Drosophila melanogaster: one gene and its partner. The protein of the gene in region 1 interacts with the protein of each later gene in a pairwise test. Each region holds a gene or a part of one and is shown on either strand. Other genes may lie near its edges.

Region 1 (11,354 bases):
CTGGTGCCTGGAGTTGGAACCTTTGTGGCCTGCCTTGTCTTGCCGCTGGAGTGGGGCATCCTCATTGGAGTGGGACTCAATGTCATCTTTATCCTCTACCATGCTGCGCGTCCCAAGCTGAGCACCGAGCTACTGACCACACAGTCGGGTGTGGAGTACTCAATGATCACGCCAGATCGATGCCTGATCTTCCCGTCTGTGGATTATGTGAGGAATCTGGTCAACAAGCAGTCCATTAGGCAAAATGTCCCAGTGGTCATAGATGCGTCGCATGTCTACGGGGCTGACTTCACAACGGCCACGGTTATAGACTCGCTGATCAGTGATTTCAATCAGCGAGGACAACTGCTCTTCTTCTACAACCTCAAACCGAGTATCTGCTCCATTTTCGAGCACGTGTCGGCGGCCCAGTTCGTGGTCTACTACCAGGAGCAGCAGTTGGATGAGCTGCTCAAGGAGCGCAACTATGTGCAGAAGCGGCTCGAGACGGCCTAACTGGCTTATTCTCCTCAACACGTGATACAAATAATTTAGCCTAAGTGTTTGCTTTAATTATTTATGGCGTTGTAAATAGATTGTAAACTAATTGTGTAGTATTATCCAGAGCACACAACTATTAGAAATTGTAAGGTGAACAAATAAGTGTATTTCTTAATTACGTAATAATAACAAACAAAAATAATTTATCTTGTTTATTTCATGAAAGAGTAAAAGTCAGTGAGATTGGTTAACTCAAATCAATTAAAACTATTATTCAGTTTTGTTTATCAGATATATTTGATTTTGAATTTAAATACTTGGGCAATATACAACACTTGATAATGGCGCTATACAGCACTCTTAAGCTATCGATAAAAGCTATAGATAGACCGATATATTCAGTGCTGTTAGCCGTCCCTACTCAACACTGAAACATTTCTCACGTGTAAAGTTGAGCAGTTTGTTTTCCTCTTTTTTCCGCTTAATTTAACTTAAAATGAAACGCCTGAGCGACGAACGTGCCAAGATCTTGTTCGAGCACCTGTCCAAATAGTGAGTACCCAAAACAGATCATCGCAATGCAGCTAACAAGTGCTCTTACAGCATTGGCACAAATGTGAAGCATTTGATTGACCGGCCAGATGGAACATATTGCTTTCGGGAGCACAAGGATCGGGTCTACTACGTCTCGGAGCGGATTTTGAAGCTGAGCGAGTGCTTCGGCTACAAGCAGCTGGTGTGCGTGGGCACCTGCTTCGGCAAGTTCTCCAAGACCAACAAACTGAAGTTCCATATCACGGCCCTCTACTACTTGGCGCCCTACGCCCAGTACAAGGTGTGGGTGAAGCCCTCCTTCGAGCAGCAGTTTCTCTACGGCAACCACATACCCAAAACAGGACTGGGTCGCATCACGGAGAACGCCGGCCAGTACCAGGGCGTGGTGGTCTACTCCATGAACGACCTGCCTCTGGGCTTCGGCGTACTGGCGCGTTCCACAACGGACTGCAAGACCGCCGATCCCATGACCACCGTATGCTTTCATCAGTCGGATATCGGCGAATATATTCGCGCCGAGGACACGCTCTTTTAGATCCATAGATGCTAAGTTTTTACATGTTTTGTAGCAATAACCATGTTTAGGTAAATAATAAGTATGCTGAAAAACGGATAAACTGCTTTTGATTTTATATTTTTAATGTTAATACTGATAATAATAATAATTGATAATAAAACTTACACTACATTTCATAAATTATTATTAAAAAAAAAAATTTTAAATAGTGAGCCAATATTTTGTGGTATATTTTATGCAAGGTATTTTTTGAGTTTGAAATAGTATATACCCGCATTTTCAATGCCAATGGTATTTTGTACCGAAACGGTCACACGCAACACTGCAATTTCTGGACGCGATTTCGTGGGAATCTTCGATGGAAATGCGTCTGAATGCGGCTTCCATATGGCTGTTAATACTGTCGTATGGAGCAACTATTGGTAATAATCAGGACGAAAACAAAGTGGAGCTTCCAGTAGCGACCGGCGTCGAAAACCCGCACGCCCACTTTTTAATATAGGCCAAATAACCTGAGTCATCTAACCCGAACTTTCTTTGTCCACAGCTCAAGGAGAAAGAACCCGCGATAAGATGTACGAGCCCATTGGAGGAGCTAGCTGTTTCCGACGGCTGAATGGCACCCATCAGACAGGCTGTTCCTGTGAGTCCATTGAGAATATACCTTGAAATCCTCTATAATTCTTTCTTTTCAGCAACCTACTCCGGTTCCGTGGGCGTACTACATCTAATAAACGTCGAGGCCGACCTGGAATTTCTTCTTAGCAGCCCACCATCTCCACCTTACGCCCCCATGATACCACCTCACCTGTTCACACGTAACAACCTGATGCGCCTAAAGGAAGCCGGACCAAAGAACATTTCTGTGGTGCTGCTGATCAACCGCACGAACCAGATGAAGCAGTTCTCGCACGAACTCAACTGCCCCAATCAGTACAGCGGCCTGAACAGCACCAGTGAGACCTGCGACGCCAGCAATCCAGCCAAAAACTGGAATCCCTGGGGCACTGGACTTCTGCACGAGGACTTTCCCTTTCCTATCTATTACATAGCCGATTTGGATCAGGTCACCAAGCTAGAGAAGTGCTTTCAGGACTTTAACAACCATAACTACGAGACGCACGCGCTGCGTAGCTTGTGCGCCGTCGAGGTCAAGTCCTTTATGTCCGCCGCTGTCAACACCGAGGTCTGTATGCGCCGCACCAACTTCATCAATAATCTTGGAGGAAGCAAGTACTGCGATCCGCTCGAGGGACGGAATGTTTACGCCACCTTGTACCCCCGAAAGCCAGCAATCGAAAACAACTTGGAGACAGTCCATACGAATGAAAAGTTCATATTAGTAACCTGTCGCCTGGACACCACCACCATGTTCGATGGCGTCGGTGAGTTCAAGTAGTGGAATTACTACTACTTCGACTACATGATTTATTTCTACAATTCACAGGTCTTGGAGCCATGGACTCCCTCATGGGATTTGCTGTTTTCACTCATGTGGCGTATCTATTAAAACAACTACTTCCGCCGCAAAGCAAAGACCTTCATAATGTCCTCTTTGTGACTTTTAATGGCGAATCCTATGACTACATTGGTTCTCAAAGATTTGTATACGACATGGAGAAACTTCAATTTCCTACTGAATCCACAGGCACGCCTCCGATTGCCTTTGACAATATTGACTTCATGCTGGACATCGGGACACTGGATGACATATCGAATATTAAGCTGCATGCGTTAAATGGAACGACTTTGGCTCAGCAAATTCTAGAGCGGCTAAATAACTATGCGAAGTCGCCACGCTATGGCTTTAACCTGAACATTCAGTCCGAGATGAGCGCTCACTTACCACCTACGTCGGCGCAATCATTTCTGCGACGTGATCCAAACTTCAATGCATTGATTCTAAACGCTCGTCCAACGAACAAGTATTATCATTCCATATACGATGACGCGGATAACGTGGACTTCACCTATGCGAACACAAGCAAGGATTTCACCCAGCTGACGGAAGTTAATGACTTTAAAAGCTTGAACCCAGATTCACTGCAAATGAAAGTGCGCAACGTTTCCTCTATTGTGGCCATGGCCCTATATCAGACAATAACTGGAAAGGAGTACACTGGCACCAAGGTGGCCAACCCTCTGATGGCAGATGAGTTCCTTTACTGTTTCCTGCAATCGGCGGACTGCCCACTCTTTAAGGCCGCATCTTATCCGGGCAGTCAGCTCACCAATTTGCCTCCGATGCGGTAAGTTAGCTATAAACATGCCTATACTTGGATTTATTTATTGCTAGCCTTTCTTTTCCCAAGCTACATAAGCGTCTTGGGTGGCTCTCAAGAGTCGTCGGGCTATACGTATAGATTGCTGGGCTATCTCCTGTCACAACTGCAGCCAGACATTCACAGAGATAACTGCACCGACTTGCCGCTGCACTATTTCGCCGGATTCAACAATATCGGAGAGTGTCGCCTCACCACGCAGAACTACAGTCACGCCCTGAGTCCAGCTTTTCTTATTGATGGTTAGCCCTGAAATGCCTTTATTGTCTTGTGCAAACATTTTTACAATTAAACTTTCATTAGGCTACGATTGGAGTTCCGGCATGTATTCCACTTGGACTGAATCCACCTGGTCACAGTTCAGTGCACGCATCTTCCTGCGCCCGTCCAATGTGCACCAGGTCACAACTCTAAGCGTTGGCATAGTGGTGCTGATAATATCCTTCTGTTTGGTGTATATAATCAGCTCACGATCGGAAGTCCTCTTTGAGGATTTGCCGGCAAGCAATGCCGCGTAAGTCCCTTCAGATGCATCCACTTGTACATCGTCAGTTTGCTCATCAATTACTGGGAAACTCATGTCATCTTTAGTGCTCAGATTTTGTTTGGTTTCTATGTATTGTAATATTTATTTGAAATTTATTGTTTCTAGATTATTTGGTTGATGTCACAACTGCCACAGCGACGAAATCATCGCGTTCAGCAGCTCATTCCATAGATTTCTGCATGCGTAAACTAAACGTTACTTGTAAACCAATCGATTAAGAATTTCTGATTGTGCCCTTTTAGATCGCCGCGGCCGACAGCCTGTTAAATCTTCAAAGAATATCTGATCACGTGCCGAAGATGATTGGTTGCTGAATATGATCTAAAACAAAAAACAGACTTAACAAAGACACTAAAATGATATTCTAACTCGTCTTATTTAAAACATTAAGCAAACGTTTATTTATATGTATTTTTGTATTTTAAAGTAGTAAATTAGCTTCTATCAACTACGTTGTATCATATATAGACATTTAACCAATTGCGACAAAATTCTTTCCACTTGTCCGGCCCTTTTTGCATTGTACATAGGATTAACCAACCCAATTGAACCTCTGATAATGCCAAGGAAGAGATGTCTGTACAAATATTGACAAGAAACTGCTATAACTTATAAATCACTGGAAATATTTATACCTTCTGCATCTATTGCGATACTGAACTTAATGATCTGAAATCATTACTTCATAGAAGACAAATAATTATTATAACGACTTTAAATTATATATGTTTAATAAATTTTGATAAGGTGTAAAGCAATGTCCTGTTATCTAGTTAGGTTATTTTCAAGGCAATTATTCACAGCTCTCAGATTCCAACGATTGATGTAGTTTAATCTCAACTCTTTACCAAAGAAGTCCATTTGTACTAGTGTAAAAGATATTTTCAATACTCTTAAAATCGTGGAAATACTTTTGGGAATGGTAAGAATTGGCAAAATCCGAAGTTTTGACGATATTATCGTCTTAAATATTTTTAATTTCTTTAGTTTAGCAATCCTTGAAGCCGAAGATTAACAATCGAATCTGTAATTACCCCTGCGGATGCCTTCAAGTAGCCACCACTCAGCAGCATCACCACCGGAATTCCTAATGCCCGAAATGTACTAAATACCAACCGATCCCGCTCAATAACGCCCTCCGCGGAAATAGCCAGGTTGCCCAATGGATCGCCCTCGAGCACATCGGTTCCCGCATTATAGACGACCATATCTGGACGGAACTCGGCCAGGGACTGCATCAGGCAGCGTTTTAGTTGCCGCAGGTAGAATCCATCCTCCGTGTAGTTGCGCAGCTCCACCGCACACCGAATGCTCTCCTTGGCCACATGATCCCGCGGATAGACAAAGGCATTGTACATGTCGAAAATGTAGACGGCTGCCACGTTATTGAAGTCCCGCTCGTGCCCATTGCCCTGATGGGCATCCAGGTCCACAATCATTATGCGGCGCACCCGGAATGGTTCCTGCTCGAACAGCCTGACGATGAGCAGCGAGATGTCAGCATATGGACAGAAACCACCGCCTCTGTACGAGCAACAGTGATGGAACCCACCGCCCAGGTTGATGGCCCAACCATAATCCAATGCCAGCTTACCGGCCAAAATGGAACCGGCTGCTTGAAAGCGCATGGGTCGCAAATAGGAACGCTGAATGTATCGATTCGGGACGAAGGCCATCAGCGGCACTTCAGCGATGCAGGCCACATTCATGCTCCAGCGCAGTGACTTTAGGTATTCCCTTGTGTGAATACGACGCAGCTGGTCCTTGGTCAGCTCCGTGGGTTCGTAGAAGCTGCCGTCGTCGAGCTGCAGTTGGGCGCACAGGAGCTGTGGTCCATTGATTGGTATATAAAAGTTCAGGAGATCGGGAAATGCATACGAACCTTGTGAATGTGCTTGCCCTTGGCCGCATCGAAGGGATGTAGGCGTTCAAGGCCACCGAAGCGAACCGCATAGTTCCTTGAGAACACGATGGGCAGTTTGCCGGCGGAGCGTGCGTCATCCCGCTTAACCCAGACAACCTCCTCGGACTCCTGCTCCTCGTGGTGCACTCGCTCAGTCAGGCGCTTCATTTTGTGGTTCAATTTAGGCGTGGATTACATCTGTCCGACACCAGTTGAATTGGCTACGCAAATAGCAAATGCAATTTCGCATCTTTGGGGTTGGGAACGGGAATGGGAAAGGGTGGATGCGCCATCAGCTGGCGGCCGGCAAAAAGCTTCCATTCAAGCACTTGGACTAAGCTTTTGCATAAAACAACAAATGCACTTAAAATAATTTTAATACACTATGTGACTTGGACAATACATATTACATGATATTCACTTGGCTAAAACACTTATTTTGCTTTACTTCTATAAACTGGTCGGTCATGGCCATCTTGCAGTTCCCTGTAGGTGTTAAGGACGCGCTGGTCACGAGAGTCCCTCAGTTGCCAAAAGTGCTTCCACTGTTGATTTATATCACAAAAAGGAACTACTTCTGTTTAGATTACTTACCAGCTCCTTGGGAACATCGAGAGGAGTCGGGAAAACAAACCAGATGACTGCCTCGGCACAGGGAGGAGTAGTAAGCGAACCTAAAACATATATGTATGAATGGATATCCAAAAGCCAAAAGAAACATCTCACCTTGGTAGGTGAAGTATTTTTGGCTGTCTATGCTAGCAAAAAGGTCCTGCAAAGCCATGCTGTCCTCCAGAGGACACGAATCATCCAACTTAGTTATGCTGGATACCTGTTTACAGATCATGTTCATAGCTGGCGTCTCGATGTTCGGATCCTTCAATGGAAATAAGATGGCTAGAGTATAGGTAAAGCGTAGAGGCACTTCCTACCTCAAGGTTCCTTATGAACAGGGCCAAAACCGCAAAGCCATTCGGCTGCAGACCGGCCTCCTTGTTGCTTTTGTAACTGGCATTCTTGTGAACGATGTGCACCTCCCCATCGTAATAGTTGCCATCCAAGCAGTGCTCCGATCCCTTGCTCAGTGCGGAGCCCCAGTGAAAGTGCAACTGGTCGGCCTCGAAGACCTGTTGGCCTTCAGTACTGATGCAAAGGGATGGCCGACTGCCGTCGACGGTCTTGGGTATCCGCATGAGAACTGTTAGCCCATTGTTGATCACGGATAAAGGATCGCACAGGCTCTTATGGTAATTCAGGAACTTCAGTTTGGGTACATTACATGTAATGGCCTACGGATAAGCTAAGTTTATTATTGCATTAGGATATCATTATCAGATAGAATGGCTTACATTGCATGACCACAGTGCAATGGGCGATTGTCTTTCACCGCACTTTACATTCCAATCCCTTCCCTGTTTATCATAATTGAATCCAAAATGACTTCTTGTCCCCGAGTTAATTGGGGCAAAACTTCTTGCCACAAGAAACATGTAAAAGACTTACAGACTTACAATACTAGACTACGGACTAAATAAAACGAGATTTGTTGACATATATTTTTCAGGTGCTGAGATGCAGAGTAAGGTTGCCAAACGTTCTTCAAGGACATATGTACAACTTCTTCGTTTCCAGCTCCTTGGCCTTCCGATCCATAATGTTCTGCTCCACCATGCGATTGCAGCCTTTGTAGATGTACTTGGTGACAAAAAAGAGTATCTCGAATATGGCCACCATGGAGAAGCCGACGAAAATGGACATGATGTTACCTATGGTACCTGTAAATTGGAAAAATTCGATACAACTGGCCATAGGAAGAGTGTAGATCCAAACCCACTGAATACTTCGAACCAGGTGTTATTCAGCAGTCGGATATAGTATTGGGCATGGGGGTCTCCGAAGTAAACCCTGAGAACGGAGATGTCTGTACCGAACTCCGTCTCGTTGTTCTCGTCCAGCTTCAGCGTGGCCAGGTAGTTATCGATTGGCAGGGCACTCATTGAAACCTCGTACTGGACATCCCGGCAGGAGGGCAGACATTGTGGGCAATAAAGAGCCTCCTCGATTTCCCGCTCCAAGCCATTAACAATGTGCCGTTCCGTCAGTATATTGCGCCACTTAACTGGAAACGAAAATATTGAAATGGAAGAACGTGTGCGCGTAAGCCGCTGATTGGCTTACATATGTACTGATTGAGACAGGAAACGTGTCCCAAGGTGCAGTAGACAACGCCATCGAGATTTTCCACCAGTTGAAGGGGCATTTGGAAGGGGAGACACCGGCACAAGGCAATGATACTCCGGATCCGGCACCTGGTTATGCAATTCGGGAAGGTGTAGCTAAGGCTGTACGTGTTCATTAGCTGCTCATGGATCGGATTCTGTGCCTCGTACTCAAAATAACAGCGGCGCTATAAGATTGATATTATAGGTGGTCTTGAATTTGAAAAATAGAACAGCATACACTGAACGGCGAAAATGATTTTAGGCTATCATCAGTGTCCACCACTCGCGCGCAGACCGCAATGTAGCTATCCTCTCCTTGGCCAGGAAACATCTCGAGCACATTGGAGGAATAAACCGAGGCATAGTTTTCAGCATTGTGAATCATGACAATGTATCCATTGGTGTTCAGAATGGGGGCAAAGTAGTCCACGTGACTGTCGTTCAAGACTACTTTCAGACCCAGTTCCGAGCTGGCTAGACGATTCTTGAAGTGCCGTTTCTTTAGTCTGTTGAAGATTTGGTTAAAAAAGAAATAATAATAAGAGCTACCATTAACTTGTTCTCCATGTTGAAGGTGCAGCAGGGTCCGTACATGGTAAGGCTATCCTGAAAGGCATCCTTGCTGAAGCAGGGCACTTCCACATTGGCTACGGTGCACTTCAGCACGAATCCTTGGCATCGCGGGGTCAACTGTGAAAAATAGAAACAAGATTCAATATATTCTCGATCCGTGCTATTCTTACCATTTTCATTATGCGGCGAGTGTCGAAAAAGGTCTCATTGTTCCAGGTGCCGAAGACGTCGAGGAAGGTCTGGAAGGTAATGAAGTCATCGGTGTCCACCACTACGCCAACGTGTGTATAGAACTCGCGGAAGAACCTTAGGCGCTCTAGAAAGTATTCCACTGGGCGAATTACAGGACTGTTTAACCTCCTAACAATAAATATAACAACAAAAATTTAAGTACACAAATATTTATTTCAATAATTTTAGCCTCACAATTCTTCAGCATATTGGATAACTGCCTGGCGAGAGATGCGATTGTTGGGGCAGATGGAAACAGCCGGGAATGGCACATTCTCCACTGGAAAAAGAGGATCCTTCAGATTGGTCACAAAGGATTGGGCCACGAACTGCTCCCATGTTAGCGAGAGCACCACAATCAGGGAGACGGTGGTGGCCATGTGTACCAGCAACCAAATCAATCTATTAAAATATGACTATGCCGGCTTACGTTGCGTATGAGTAATATTTGGGAAAACTTTTGTACCTTTGTCCCAAGGTCAAGTCCGGTGACAAAAGCTTATTGTAACCCTGTAGGGATATGTTTCTAACCAGATCCGCCATATCCAAGCAGAAGGCTGAGCCCAAGGACTCCTTGCGTTTACCTTTGGAATTATGTTCCCCGGCTGCCTTGGGATTCTTAATCCACCAAATGGCATTGGATGTTGATGCCAGCTTGACCATATTTCTGAGGTCTTTATTTACTCCAATCCTTTCCGAGCTACTGTTTGTTGAACTCTGACTGGTAACTAAGAGTTTGTATAGCTTACAAGTGTTCATTGATGAATAAAAGTATCACGAAATAGGCGTGACTAGCTAATGCGTTTCCTTCATTAATGCGGTTAATTATGATTAGTTTAGGGGGAACTTTAGAAGTTAAAGCAGAAAGGTTGTACTTTATGACATTTTTAATTGCCATAGTATTCCATTGGAATAGTCTTTGACACACTGTTCATGTTACTAATCTTAAGCTTAATCCTATTAAATATTTTCCTGTACAAGATGTAGCAGTTCATTGTCTAGCTAAAGCTGAGTCAAGTCTTTAATGTATGTTTATATGAAGTTAACCATGCTAGTCCAGTCCTATCCCATTGGCCAGAAGGGCTGGCCAGGATAAATGCGGGATCCGGGAAAGGCGTACTGGTTGGGATTGACCACTCGGGCGATATCCGTGTAGCTGCGACCGTCACGCTTCGGTGTTTGATGGTATCCACGGGCCGGGGAGCCAGACACGACGATCAGAAGAAGGAGCAGGGCGACCATAAGGCAATGGATGGCTCCTTGGACGGACATGGCTTGCAAGAATTGATATGTGAGTGCTCCGCTTCCAGTACTGAACTGCACTGATGCCGGTGACCAGCCTATTTATATGGATATCGTCGGCTGATCGGTTCTTGGCGTTCTCAGACGCTTGGCTTATCAATCAGGTTTTCGCAAACGACTGAAGCCCCCAAGAGAATTGCTTTGCCGCTCACGTAGATCTCGTCTCTTTGTGTGAAATGGATTTTTATGATCACTTTGTTTTCTCAATATTTACTGACACGGTGCCCAGCGCCAAGTCATTCACACCGCAGCCCGTTATTTCATCCGATCGGCAGTGAGTTGGCATATACATATGAACATCCAACACCTGATCTTGACTCTAATTGCACTGTGAATGATCTAGCCATATGTAGGCAACTCGACCCAGCCTCTCAGCATAAGTGCTCGCTCGTACGTATTTAAATTGTAATTAGCGACTCTGTCGGGGTATTGGAGTAATGACGTAGGTGCGCCATCTGAGGCGGCGTATTAGCACATTCTTGCATAAACAATTGCCATGTTCGGCGCGATTAGTTGCCACTGACTTGGGCACCGAAGTCTTCCTTCCTGTACTGCGATCTGGTTTCTGGTTTCACTTCCTCAATGCCGGTCGTCGGTGCTCCGGGGGGAAGTCCTAGCTGACCAGCTGCATCTCGGCGTGAATCACTTGCTTACTCGTGCGCAAGTACCTCGATGGGATCGTTAAAAGACTATATATACCACAGTTGTGAGCCATGATAAGTCCAGTCGGATGATGACTTGG
Region 2 (13,428 bases), on another chromosome or scaffold:
TCGGAGGAGCTTTTCGCAGGTTTAGGTTGTTGAGAGTCGTCTGTGTTGATAAAGCAAACCTCCGTGCTGTTCGGCGGCTCTGGAGCAGGTGCCATGCTGGCCTCCAAAGCGGCATCCGCGGCTGCCAGCATGAGAGCCTCTTGTTCCGCCTCATCTTCAATCAGAACCACAGTGTCCACCTCGGCTAGGATGCGAGGGTGCTGAACAGATGGCGCCTCCGAGTCCCGGAACTGAAACAGTGGATTATCTAGGCTCGATTCTAATTGGGTCTCCTCAACTCGCCGTTTTGGCTGCACTGCAGCCGGTTCCGAAGAGCTGCCTTTGCGTTTGTTGGTCACATTCGGCTTCGAAACGCTGCTCTTTCGCTTTGCGGCCGCCGCTCGTACATCCTCATCCTGCACTGTCAGATCCTTTTGACAATAATCTTCCGAGAAGCTTATATCATCGGGGGATAGCGTGGACATGATCAGCAAGCATTCAATCTCGCCATGCTTCTTAATTTTGAGCAGGAAAGGCATGCCCGCTTCGTCGAACTCCAGGGTCAGCGAAGCATTTAAGCACTCGGCGAAGAGGAGAAATGCTCGGAATTCCTTAATGCAGAATGTAATGACCGTCTCCTTCGTTACCTGGTACTGCTCAAATTCACTGGGCTTAAGTTTCAGCTGCGTGCGCATGAACTTATCATTAACTCGGGCTCCTTCTATGTAGTTTTTGGCCACCACACTGCCCGAGTTTGCCTCCAAAGTAAGTTCCTCCTCTGAGGAGTTAAAGTTATTGGATATATCCGTCAACAGCTTGTGATCGCCACGGATTCTGAAATGTTGAGTAGTAAATTCGGATTTATATGGGCATAGTTGTTTTAAGAGAAATAAGGTAAGGAGATAAACTTAATAGTTATCCTTAACACAAACCAAAACTCACATATTCGGCATCTGATCGGTGTTAATGTTTGTGTTAATGTTTTGGTCGTCTATGATGGAAATGGTGGCCTCCTTTGTGGTCTCCAGCTTACAGCGGAGATTCACCTGCAGGTTGGTCTGGTTGTCCAGCAAGTTGAGTTCACAGTACTCCACCTGGAACATAATATTCTTAACAACTAATCCCAGTGAGCAGACTTTCGAACTTACCTCATTCATGTTGCGGAACACGGCCAAACATCCCTTCATGGAGATCTTGCAGTAGAAATCTGAGTGCGGCGGCATGTCATACACTTCGAACATGGATCTTTTGAACGATATGCTGCCCACTGCGGATTGGGTGGCATTTATGGCCCGCATCTGCAAGGATTGCTGGTCGATCTCGATGAACATCTCCTTGCCCACCTTGGACAGCGATTGTACGGCTTTGGCGATGACTTAAAAAATGAATTCTTTTAGTTATCAATATATTTTGCTGTTTATTATGTGGTACCTCTTGCATTGCTGCCCTCTAAAGTGTATTTCATTGGCAATATTTGCACTATGTTTTTGGTCGCGAAATTCGCGCTGAAATTTGTAAACAAACAAATTAGAGTGATAGTAGTCGCACAACAGGTATGAAAAATACCAACAAAGGAATTTAGTTACCCATTTATGCATTTTGAAGTAAGTATGTACTATTTTTATATTTCAATAATTTCTTTTATAATTTAAAGCAAAATATTTCCATATTGACAATTGTCCGTAAAATAAATAAATTTAAATAAGTTCTTCAACCCGATGTAGTTCCAATGTAGTCTGGTCACACTGCGGCATGCCGGTTCATCAACGAACGCCACATCAGTTCTAAATCAAATTAAGAAAAACTGGGCTAAAACCAGCCGAAAACTGGTGAAAAGTAAAATATTTGGAGAAGGAAAGCCTTAAGTTCCTCTCTACGCTTAGTATACGTAATGTGCGTGGTTTAATCTACGTTAAAACAAGTGGAAACCATGTTACGTGCCGTGGCTTTGTGTGTGTCTGTGGTGCTCATAGCACTATATACGCCAACTTCTGGGGAATCCAGTCAGAGCTATCCCATCACCACGCTAATCAACGCGAAATGGACGCAGACGCCCCTATATCTGGAAATCGCCGAGTATCTGGCCGATGAGCAGGCGGGCCTCTTCTGGGATTACGTTTCGGGGGTGACCAAGTTGGACACGGTTCTCAACGAATATGGTTTGTGTTTATAAGTCATGGAGAACCCGCATTAAAGAGCTTTTATATTCTCCTCAATGTGAATCGAATCCATATAAAATCAAGTAATGGTTCGGAATATAAAATCACCTATTCCCAAAGCCCTATAATGTGATCTTTTCCCAAAGGGTAATTTATTTTTCTGATTACGTTTTCGCTTTTCAGATACCGAGTCGCAACAGTACAATGCCGCCTTGGAGCTGGTCAAGAGCCATGTGAGTTCTCCCCAATTGCCCCTGCTTAGGCTGGTGGTATCCATGCATAGCTTGACGCCCCGGATCCAGACCCACTTCCAGTTGGCCGAGGAACTGAGGAGCAGTGGCTCTTGTCAGAGCTTTACTTTTGCCCAGGTGGGTTCCGAACTGGCCTGCAGCTTTAACGAGCTGCAGAAGAAGCTGGAAGTGCCGCTCGCCAAGGATAGCTTGGATGCTTCTGTTGTCACCTACAGCTTTGATCACATTTTCCCTGGCAGTGAGAACAATACCCGCACTGTGGTACTATACGGCGATTTGGGAAGCTCTCAATTCCGCACCTATCACAAACTATTGGAAAAGGAAGCCAATGCTGGCCGGATTCGTTACATCTTGCGTCATCAATTGGCCAAGAAGGACAAGCGACCGGTACGACTTTCGGGCTATGGAGTGGAACTCCATCTGAAGTCAACGGAATACAAGAGTCAGGATGATGCTCCAAAGCCCGAAGCTGGTTCCACTTCTGATGAGGATTTGGCTAATGAATCGGACGTCCAGGGCTTTGATTTCAAGGTGCTGAAGCAGAAGCATCCTACACTTAAGAGAGCGCTGGATCAACTGCGTCAGAGGCTTCTTCAGGGAAACGATGAGATCGCCCAATTGAAAGCATGGGAGTTCCAGGATTTGGGTCTCCAGGCGGCCGCTGCTATTGCAGAAATACAGGGTGATGAAACCCTACAAATTCTTCAATATACTGCCCATAATTTCCCCATGTTGGCCAGAACCCTGCTGGCCCACAAGGTTACGGATGGCTTAAGGGCGGAGGTAAAGCATAATACGGAAGCATTTGGAAGAAGCTTGAATGTAGCGCCTCCAGATGGTGCCCTTTTCATCAATGGACTCTTCTTCGATGCTGACACAATGGATCTGTATTCCCTGATTGAGACGCTGCGCTCGGAGATGCGTGTTCTCGAGAGTCTGCACAGTAATAATGTGAGGGGAAGCCTTGCCAGCTCCTTGCTCGCCTTGGATCTGACGGCCTCCAGCAAAAAAGAATTCGCCATCGACATCCGTGACACTGCAGTACAGTGGGTCAACGATATTGAAAACGATGTGCAGTACCGCAGGTGGCCCTCATCGGTGATGGATCTTTTGCGTCCAACCTTTCCTGGCATGTTAAGGAATATCCGAAAGAATGTGTTCAATTTGGTCCTAGTGGTAGACGCGCTGCAGCCCACAGCTAGAAGTGTTATTAAACTGTCAGAGTCGTTTGTCATCCATCAAGCTCCCATTCGCTTGGGTTTGGTTTTCGATGCGAGGGACGCCAACGAGGATAATCTTGCAGATTACGTAGCCATCACGTGCGCCTATAACTATGTGAGTCAGAAAAAGGATGCCCGAGCTGCTTTAAGTTTCCTCACCGACATCTACGCAGCAGTTGGTGAGACCAAAGTGGTCACGAAAAAAGACATAGTCAAGCAACTAACGAAGGAATTTACATCATTAAGCTTTGCCAAAGCGGAGGAGTTCCTGGAGGAAGATTCCACGTACGACTATGGCAGGGAGCTCGCAGCAGAGTTCATTCAGCGGCTGGGATTCGGAGACAAGGGACAACCTCAGGCCTTGTTGAATGGTGTTCCAATGCCCAGCAACGTTGTGACCGCCGATAGCGACTTCGAGGAGGCTATTTTCACCGAGATTATGACCCACACCAGCAATCTCCAAAAGGCTGTGTACAAAGGTGAACTGACAGACAACGATGTAGCCATTGATTATCTGATGAATCAACCTCACGTGATGCCCAGATTGAATCAGCGAATCCTAAGCCAGGAGGATGTGAAATATCTTGATATTAACGGCGTGGCCTACAAAAATCTTGGCAATGTTGGAGTTTTAAATCGTCTGTCTAACCGGGATATGACCGCTACGCTAATGGATAATCTTAAATACTTTGGTGGCAAGAAGTCTACGGAGCTTATTGGCCGAGCATCCCTACAGTTCCTAACGATTTGGGTGTTTGCTGATTTGGAAACTGACCAGGGTCGAGATCTGCTCACCCATGCCCTGGACTATGTCCAAAGTGGAGAGAGTGTGCGAGTCGCATTCATTCCAAACACTGAAAGCTCTTCCGCCTCAAGCCGGAGGAATCTTAATCGATTGGTTTGGGCTGCCATGCAGAGTCTTCCACCAACTCAAGCCACGGAGCAGGTTCTCAAGTGGCTAAAGAAACCAAAGGAGAAAATTGAGATACCCACTCAGCTCGAGGATATCCTGGGATCTACAGAGCTGCACCTGAAGATGTTGAGAGTTTATTCCCAGCGAGTGTTGGGTCTAAATAAATCCCAGCGTTTGGTCATCGGTAATGGGCGGCTTTATGGGCCCCTTTCGTCGGATGAAAGCTTTGATAGCGCCGATTTCGCTTTGCTAGCCAGGTTCAGTTCTCTACAGTATAGCGATAAGGTGCGTCAGGTCCTGAAGGAATCTGCTCAAGATGTCAATGAGGAATTCAACAGCGATACATTGCTTAAGTTGTATGCCAGCCTGCTTCCCAGGCAAACCAAAACTCGCTTTAAGCTACCAACGGACTTAAAAACCGATCACTCGGTTGTAAAACTACCGCCCAAACAGGAGAATCTTCCCCATTTTGATGTTGCCGCCGTTTTGGATCCCGCCTCCCGAGCAGCTCAAAAACTAACGCCAATACTTATTTTGCTTCGTCAAGTGCTGAACTGCCAATTGAACTTATACCTGATTCCCGTCCCCCAGCACAGCGATATGCCCGTGAAGAACTTCTACAGATACGTTGTGGAACCGGAGGTCCAATTCGAGGCGAATGGAGGCCGATCTGATGGTCCTTTGGCCAAATTCAGTGGATTGCCAGCCAATCCTCTGCTGACCCAGCAGCTGCAGGTTCCCGAGAACTGGTTGGTCGAAGCTGTGAGAGCAGTTTACGATCTGGACAACATTAAGTTGACCGATATTGGTGGACCTGTGCACAGCGAATTCGATCTGGAGTATCTGCTGTTGGAGGGTCACTGCTTTGATGCTGCTAGCGGCGCTCCGCCCAGAGGACTTCAGTTGGTGTTGGGTACCCAGAGTCAACCTACCTTGGTAGATACTATTGTGATGGCGAATTTGGGTTATTTCCAACTTAAAGCCAATCCAGGAGCTTGGTCCCTACGCTTGCGTGAAGGCAAATCGGCGGATATTTATGCAATCAGCCACATTGAAGGAACAAATACCCATCATTCGGCTGGCTCTTCTGAAGTTCAGGTTCTTATAACCTCCTTGCGATCCCATGTTGTCAAATTAAGGGTGTCTAAGAAGCCAGGCATGCAGCAGGCGGAACTCCTGTCAGATGACAACGAACAGGCAGCGCAATCAGGCATGTGGAACAGCATCGCCAGCAGTTTTGGCGGCGGCAGTGCCAACCAAGCAGCCACTGATGAGGATACGGAAACCATCAACATTTTCTCTGTGGCATCGGGACACTTGTACGAACGTCTTCTAAGGATCATGATGGTTTCGCTGCTAAAGCACACAAAATCACCTGTGAAGTTCTGGTTCTTGAAGAACTATCTTTCGCCGCAATTTACGGATTTCCTTCCTCACATGGCCAGTGAGTACAACTTCCAGTACGAATTGGTCCAGTACAAATGGCCCCGCTGGCTGCATCAGCAAACGGAAAAACAGAGGACCATTTGGGGCTACAAGATCCTTTTCCTGGACGTGCTCTTCCCGCTGAATGTGAGGAAAATCATTTTCGTGGATGCCGATGCCATCGTAAGAACGGATATAAAGGAGTTGTATGACATGGACCTCGGAGGAGCACCCTATGCCTACACGCCATTCTGCGATTCCCGCAAAGAGATGGAGGGCTTCCGATTCTGGAAGCAGGGATACTGGCGAAGCCATCTGATGGGCAGGCGTTACCACATTTCCGCCTTGTACGTGGTGGACTTGAAGAGATTCCGCAAGATTGCGGCAGGAGATAGGCTAAGAGGCCAATACCAGGCACTTAGCCAGGATCCGAACAGCTTATCCAATTTGGATCAGGACTTGCCCAACAACATGATCCACCAGGTCGCCATCAAATCCCTGCCCGACGACTGGCTATGGTGCCAAACGTGGTGCAGCGACAGCAACTTCAAGACTGCTAAAGTGATTGATTTGTGCAACAACCCGCAGACCAAGGAGGCCAAACTCACGGCCGCCCAGAGGATTGTGCCCGAATGGAAGGACTACGATGCCGAGCTGAAGACCCTGATGTCTCGCATCGAGGATCATGAGAATTCGCATAGCAGGGACTCGGCAGTTGATGATTCGGTTGACGATTCGGTGGAGGTCACCACTGTGACGCCTTCTCATGAGCCCAAGCACGGCGAGCTGTGATGAACGCGTAGTTAAATCAACATGTTTAGTGAATTTAAATATCGATGGATAAACACTTGATTACTTAGCTAAGAGCCATCTCCGAAATAACGACTAAACACATTTGTACATTTTAATTAGAACATAATGCGATTGATAACGTAAACCCAACTCAAAAAGAAAACAGCTCACTAAAGTCTGAATTGTGTTTTGTAACTCGATTTCGAACGATTTTCTTGTCTTGCATTCCAAGAGCTACTAATTAAGTTAAGCCGAAATTAAATGTCATCATACTAAATACGCGCCTTTAAGTTGAAGATTGTCAAATGTATTAAAAGTTGGAGTAAATAGTAATTAATTCAGCGTATTTTATTAACCATTTATTTGGGATGGTCAGGCCACTTTACCCCCTCGAAAAGCTTTGGTGACTGCGTATGTGCGTTAGGTGGCAACGCCAAATTCAAATAAAGTTTTCAAAAATCTCAGTATTTCAATTTGTATTTTTGTTGGTTTTATTTCATATTATTTTGAGTTAACTTGCTTTCGTATCTACATAAAGAATCTATTTAATAAATTTAATACAATGCTGCTTTACTTTATTGTTTAGCTCTTAATATGAAATAGTTCATTATTTTAGCAATTTATTAATAAATTTTCATTTGGTATTTAGTAAGGCAGACAGTGCAGTCCAAAGACGTTGATCTTTTCCATATTTATTATTAGGTTTGATCTGCTTCTCGATTGGCGTTCATTTGTAAGTTAAAAGTAATTCCTCAGCATTTGCGATGAACATTTCATTCCCATTAATTTAGTTTTAGCGTATCTAATATATAGTTAAAAATTTGATTCTTCACTTTAGTTTCCATCTAGCGCTGAGTGTAGTATACAATAGTTAATTAAAGCTTTCTTTTTATTCAATTTGCTCAATATGTTATTATATATGTTTTGGTTCAGACTACGCAATTGTTTTCTATCCACTTTTGAACTAGCTCATAAGTGTTTAAAGGGAAATATATAGTTAATATATTAATTAAGGTTCGCTTCTCGGTTAAATTATATAAAAAAATGCGGCTGCCAAAAGGATTCTCCTTGTCAGTTTGAAGTTGTGTATATTTTATGTGTATTGTATCTGTATCTGGTGTATCTTGCGCTCCTCTTACGTGCTAAGAATTGACGATACTACAAAATTAGACAGTTCGCTTTCGTATCTGTATCTGTAGTCTTTGTTATCATCAGTTTAAAATGGTATAGGCATATTTGAATGAATGCTTCCCAGTTTCTTGAGTTCGATTCGTTGTTGATGTCTATGTATGCATATAGGCATTGCTTTAATCCAGGTGTTTATACATATCCTCCAGCTGGGGCTTAAAATAGCTCTTAAGCTGCGGTCTCTTGGCTTTGAATGTGGGCGTCAGCAGTCCGTTTTGCACCGAGAAGGGATCCGGATGCAGATAGATATCTTTAACCTAAAATTAAATATCCCGGATATTATCTCGAAACCTATAGGTATGCTGATTCAAAAGCTCACCTGTTCGAATGACTTGAGTCCACTCTGCTTGCCCCAGTTGAGCATGTCGTTCATGATCAGTTCCTTGACATTCTTATTATTGCACAGGACGGAGAGTGTGCCGCGTACATTGTTCTCCGTGGCCCATTGCTTCAGTACATCGGTATCAGGTACAACAACAGCGATAATGCAGCTCTGAAAGAATTTGGTAAATATGTACATATATAATACAATTTCGGTCTTACCTTTAAGCTCTCTCCATAGACATAAACTTGATTTACGTATTGACTGAGCGTGTAGATATTCTCGATCTTCTCGGGCACTATGTACTCGCCCTGGCTAAGCTTGAAGATGTGCTTGCGGCGATCGATGATCCGTAGTGTTCCATTTGGCAGCCACATGCCCACATCGCCCGTATGATGCCAGCCCTCCGAATCGATGGCCTCCGCCGTCTTTTCGGGATCCTTATAGTAACTATTCACACAACAATTCAATGGATTAAACAAAAGTGGAATATTCATATTAGCTTTACCTACCCATGGAACACATTCGATCCGCGCACACACACCTCGCCAGTATTTTGATTGGCAAAGTACTCCATCTCCGGCACATCCACCAGTTTCACAGCATTGCAGGACACGGGTGGTCCCACATGGTTGGGCACATGATCTCCCTGAACGGTAAGGGTAATGGCCCCCGTGCACTCCGTTTGGCCATATCCCTCGAGAACCAGGCAGCCCAGAGCACAGCGCATGAAGGTCAGGACATTTCCGGCCAATGGGGCGGAGCCCACGACCATTAAACGAAGATTTCCGCCAAAGGCCTGATGCACCTTCTTGAAGACCAACTTGTCCCAGCAGCCGTTCCTCCGCAGGACACCCCTGGCGATCTCCTTCTCCTTCGCTCGCATAGCCATATTGAAGAGACCCCTCTTCAGTCCAGACGCTGAGATATCATTCTGAATCTTGTCGTAGACGCGGTTCAAAAGACGAGGCACTGCCGGCATTACGGTTGGTTTCAGCATCTTGAGGTCATTGGTTAATTCCTTGATGTCGCCGGAATAGAAGCCCACACAGCCGCCCACATAGTACATTCCATTCTCGCAGCAACGCTCGAACATGTGGGCCAGGGGCAGGAATGACACCATCACATCGCCCGCCCGGATGCGATGGTCGCCCATCTGCAGGATCACAGAACAGACGCCGGCCACCACGTTGCCGTGGGTGAGCATCACGCCCTTCGGATTGCCCGTCGTCCCGGACGTGTAGCACACCGTGCAAAGATCCTCCGCCGTCGGCGGCACCTCCGGATGGTTGCCTTTGGCACCTAGTTTCTCCACATCGATAAATGAGAATATCTGTATGCCTCGGCTGCGTGCCCGCTCCAGGGTCGTCTGCCGGATGGGCTTGATAGCCACTATGATCTTCAGACTGCGCGGCGCCTTCTCCAACAGCATGGCCGCCTTGCCATCGTCCTCCACAATCACCACCTGCATATCCGTCTGGCGTATGATGAAGGCGCAGGCATCGGGGCCCAGGGTGTCGTACAGCGGCACCACCACCAAGGAGAAGGAGTAGCAGCCCTGCTCGTACAGGATCCATTCCGGGCGGTTCTGCGAGTAGATCCCAATCAACTGCTTTGGCCTGGCTCCTAGCGCCAGCATTCCGGCTCCAAAGTTCTTGGCACGCAGCAGGGCCTCGTCGTAGTTGATCCACTAAGTTGACAAGGATTGGAGTAAATTAAATATGTAAATGCATATTACATATAACTAGAACTATATCAATTTCCAATTATGACTTTTGGGACTTTTACCTGGTAGGGGGAGGTCAGGGTCTCGCGCCAGCCAAGACATGGTCCATTGTTGGAGGCGTAGGCGCCCTCGCGGAACGTCTGGTACAGGGTGCGGACATTCTCTGTGATGTAGGACACGAACTTGCCGTTCTTCGACTCCTTGTAGAACTTGGAGACGTGTATTTGTTCTGGACCCTGCAATGCAAGTGAAGTGACCCCAAAAGAAACAGAGAAGTCGGAGGACATGCAATGAGTGAGATACGTTCAGATATTGAGGTAGAAAAGAATATATACAATCAAGAGTTCGGTGGGGTACAGATAGTATTTTTGTTGGGTTAGACAGATGCAAATACATATGTACATATGTTCAACGTTAGTGAGTTGCTTGTCTTGAGCTAAAAAAAAAAAATAAATAAATATTTCTTCGTCATTTAATTGCCATTAACGGAAATGGGAAGCCATATAAAAGATTTAGGTACAATGGGATATTGTCGTAAGTTCAAGTTTTAATTGATCTCATACGATCGGAAATCTGTTTCCCCTAAATCTAGAGCTATTATAGTCCGTCCATCCATTGAGTGTGTTTATTTTCGGTTACTTTAGCCAATTGTTAGAATAAAATCAATAACCATTCTAGTTTATGTACGCAGCCAAAAGGCTATGATTTATCATTTATTTTGTGGCCAGAGACATAAACCCATCACTCGGCGGGATTTCATTAGTCCGCTCGAAAGTAAAGCACATCGAGCCACTTCCTTTATGGTAAACAGCTGCGAAAGAAACAACAACCGCAATGGCCAAAAGTGTTGATGTACGAGAACGAATATCAAAATACTCTGCGATGGGGGAATATTTTTGTGGGGGGTACTGGTCCGCGGATCCAAAGAGTTAGTTTGTTTATTTTTGCTGCCCGCTTTTAATGAGCAAAATGCGAATGTATTTTCAAAACTAATTGTTTTCCACAGATTAAAGTGCTTTGCAAATTGATTTTGTTTATGGATTTCATTTTCATTATTGACGCAAGTCTAGGGGAAATTGTTAGTTAGCTAGTGCATACTACGAGGGGCTTAGTTTCATGGGGCATACCCTATGGTGGATATCTTGACGATGATCGTATATGATCTAGCCCACGAAATGTAAGAGACGGTAAACAAAAATAAAAGAAGCAAAATAAAGTATATATTAGTGATTGCTTAGTTAATCCTGGTCAGGCAGTTTTGTCATTTCATTCTATTTGTTTAGGTCCTCATAAAGGGGTTTACCTTGAGCACATCGCTCTGATTGCTTAGCTCGATGGGCACTCGTATACTGGTGATTTGGCCGCAACAGGACATGGTTTTCTTTTTTTTTCTGTATTATCACTTCTTAGGTTTACTCAATGTTTGCTGACTTTTGGACACTTTCTTCACTTATGGCTCTATTTATTGATCGTTCAGATTGCATCTGACATTTTACACGCACATTTTCCAAGCGACTGTAAAACACAAACGCGAATTTAAGCACATTTCCAATTCATTGACCAATTTGCATTCAATATCTGGCGTTTAATTGCCAAGTACGCCTCGCGTTTAAACGGTCCAATGTACATTTCAATTATAGATTTTCCCATAAGGCACATTTCATAACCGCATCGAGATCGTTTAAACGCTAATTAGCGCGCGCTTAAAATAGATTTGTAATTGAAGGGTGTGCGGAAAATGTTGTTCAGATATTAAACAGATATTATTGTTTATTTTATATCGATAGTTGCTCCATTCTATGTATTTTTTTTACTATTCAAAATTTTTGGTTCACTTCTTCTACTAATAATTTTTGGTATTTAATCTTATATTGATCGTATAGTATCATTCCTTATTTTATTAATCCACTTAGCATCTACTTAAATTCATTTTAAAACCTCACATAATATCTGAATTACACCAATTAGAACAAAAATTAAAAGCAGAACCAAAAGTCAAAAGCCATAGCATAATTATGACGCCTGGCTGTCCGTTTGCATATTTTTGGCAAGTGCGGCCCAGTCATTTTGTTTATAATTTTTCAATATTGGCAGCTGCAGGGCGGCCCCAAAAAAAGGGGATAGCAAAAAAAAAAGGCAAGAGAACGGTGTAAAATGGCCAAGACAAAAAGAGAGAGTGGCCAACACATTATCGACAAGGCGTCGTCTGCGGATTTTGCTTGGCCTGCCCCAAATTATTTTTATAAATAGTTCGTTTGTGGGTAAAAACGTTCCACTCTGTTGTTATCTATGGGACCCGCCAAATGTGTGTGGCGGCATTAAATAAAAGAAAAAAACCAAACTATGCTTTCACACACACACTCGAATACAATTAACACTTTATGCAAAATGCTAAGAAATAGAGGAAAATTTCAATTTTCTAAAGACGATCGAGTACTGAGTCATGGGGAACGCGTTTCGGGCCTCATTGGGATGTTTTGAGCCAATTGGCAGAGAGCAAACATTTTCCTCAATGAGCAATTCATCTTTGAGTTATGGTAATTGTGGTGGTCATAAAATCGGACATAAACTATTGGCCCAACAAAAATCGAGAGCCAAAGAAAAGAAATGAAAATAAATGAATGAAACAGCCGGGACCAAAAAGAATTTCAATTGAATCTGCAAGGTATCAATAGTTTGGCAGCATATTTTTAAAAATAAAAAAAATAAACGAAAGCCAGGAAAAATATGCGAGAATTTCAAGGTCGTTTGGGAAAAGCTTTTTTTTCGGTTTCCAGGTGGCTGGCATATTTTTTAAAGCGTTCTGAATTTATGTATTTTCTAGTACCAACTTCAAGTGCTCACAAAATTCATTGTTCTAACTTATTCCTTACTAACCATTATATTTTAGAAATTATCTTAAATAACAAACCACAGGGAATCTTTTGAATGCATTGGTTGTAATACAAAAGAATATATTTAAAGATATATGTGCGGTGGTTTTACTTCCTGGCATTTTGATTGATTAAGATAGATTGCAGTCGTGTTATATAGAGCCAAAGTTAAAATGTAAGGGGAAAAAAATATAAAATTGTAAAATTTGATTTATTTTTCAATTAGTGGCTATTTCTGTAAATCTCTTTGAATTTGTTGATACTTTCGACATATTTGTACAAATGCATTCACGTTCAAAAGTGCACATGGCTCAAAAATTCTTGAAAAATATAAAATGTATCTCTTAAATATAAACAGCTATAAAATGATATGGGCAATCTGTGTGTATTGTTAAGATCAACCGTTTACAACTGAAAAACCCCACCAATTAAGCCAACAACATTCATCAATCTAAATATGAATCAAAATCGTGTTAAAATTAGCTATATAACCAATCTGGGGGCTGAGTTTTTCTTAGATGTTTCAAGTATAGAAACTGCGTGAACTTGAACTTGAGTGGCTGAGTTCACGTGGCAACAC

What was found.
Region 2: the proteins of Nct (region 1) and Uggt interact in a two-hybrid assay, tested with the Drosophila melanogaster proteins (one large-scale study listed by BioGRID).

What each region holds. Positions count from the first base shown.
Region 1 is NT_033777.3:24,849,739-24,861,092, forward strand, and holds Nct (nicastrin), read left to right. Parts: upstream 1-1,862; 5' UTR 1,863-1,910; coding exon 1,911-1,974; intron 1,975-2,099; coding exon 2,100-2,195; intron 2,196-2,247; coding exon 2,248-2,937; intron 2,938-2,999; coding exon 3,000-3,801; intron 3,802-3,864; coding exon 3,865-4,076; intron 4,077-4,137; coding exon 4,138-4,348; coding exon of another isoform or gene 4,349-4,352; exon of another isoform or gene 4,353-4,486; coding exon of another isoform or gene 4,487-4,499; exon of another isoform or gene 4,500-4,623; coding exon 4,624-4,648; 3' UTR 4,649-5,131; downstream 5,132-11,354. Other genes in the region: Esp (epidermal stripes and patches), read left to right, coding at 1-495; CG7006 (uncharacterized protein), read left to right, coding at 977-1,032, 1,084-1,570; HDAC11 (histone deacetylase 11), read right to left, coding at 5,365-6,207, 6,264-6,452; CAH4 (carbonic anhydrase 4), read right to left, coding at 6,719-6,829, 6,879-6,958, 7,011-7,161, 7,217-7,573, 7,634-7,774; ppk22 (pickpocket 22), read right to left, coding at 7,884-8,059, 8,119-8,403, 8,463-8,691, 8,745-9,012, 9,063-9,196, 9,250-9,439, 9,506-9,712, 9,777-9,973; CG13639 (uncharacterized protein), read right to left, coding at 10,373-10,582. UniProt on the Drosophila melanogaster protein: Essential subunit of the gamma-secretase complex, an endoprotease complex that catalyzes the intramembrane cleavage of integral membrane proteins such as Notch.
Region 2 is NT_037436.4:18,871,041-18,884,468, forward strand, and holds Uggt (UDP-glucose-glycoprotein glucosyltransferase), read left to right. Parts: upstream 1-1,706; 5' UTR 1,707-1,909; coding exon 1,910-2,138; intron 2,139-2,321; coding exon 2,322-6,739; 3' UTR 6,740-7,205; downstream 7,206-13,428. Other genes in the region: Rad9, read right to left, coding at 1-813, 922-1,073, 1,128-1,354, 1,411-1,444; CG3961 (uncharacterized protein), read right to left, coding at 8,047-8,184, 8,247-8,420, 8,471-8,699, 8,762-9,939, 10,038-10,211. UniProt on the Drosophila melanogaster protein: Recognizes glycoproteins with minor folding defects. Reglucosylates single N-glycans near the misfolded part of the protein, thus providing quality control for protein folding in the endoplasmic reticulum.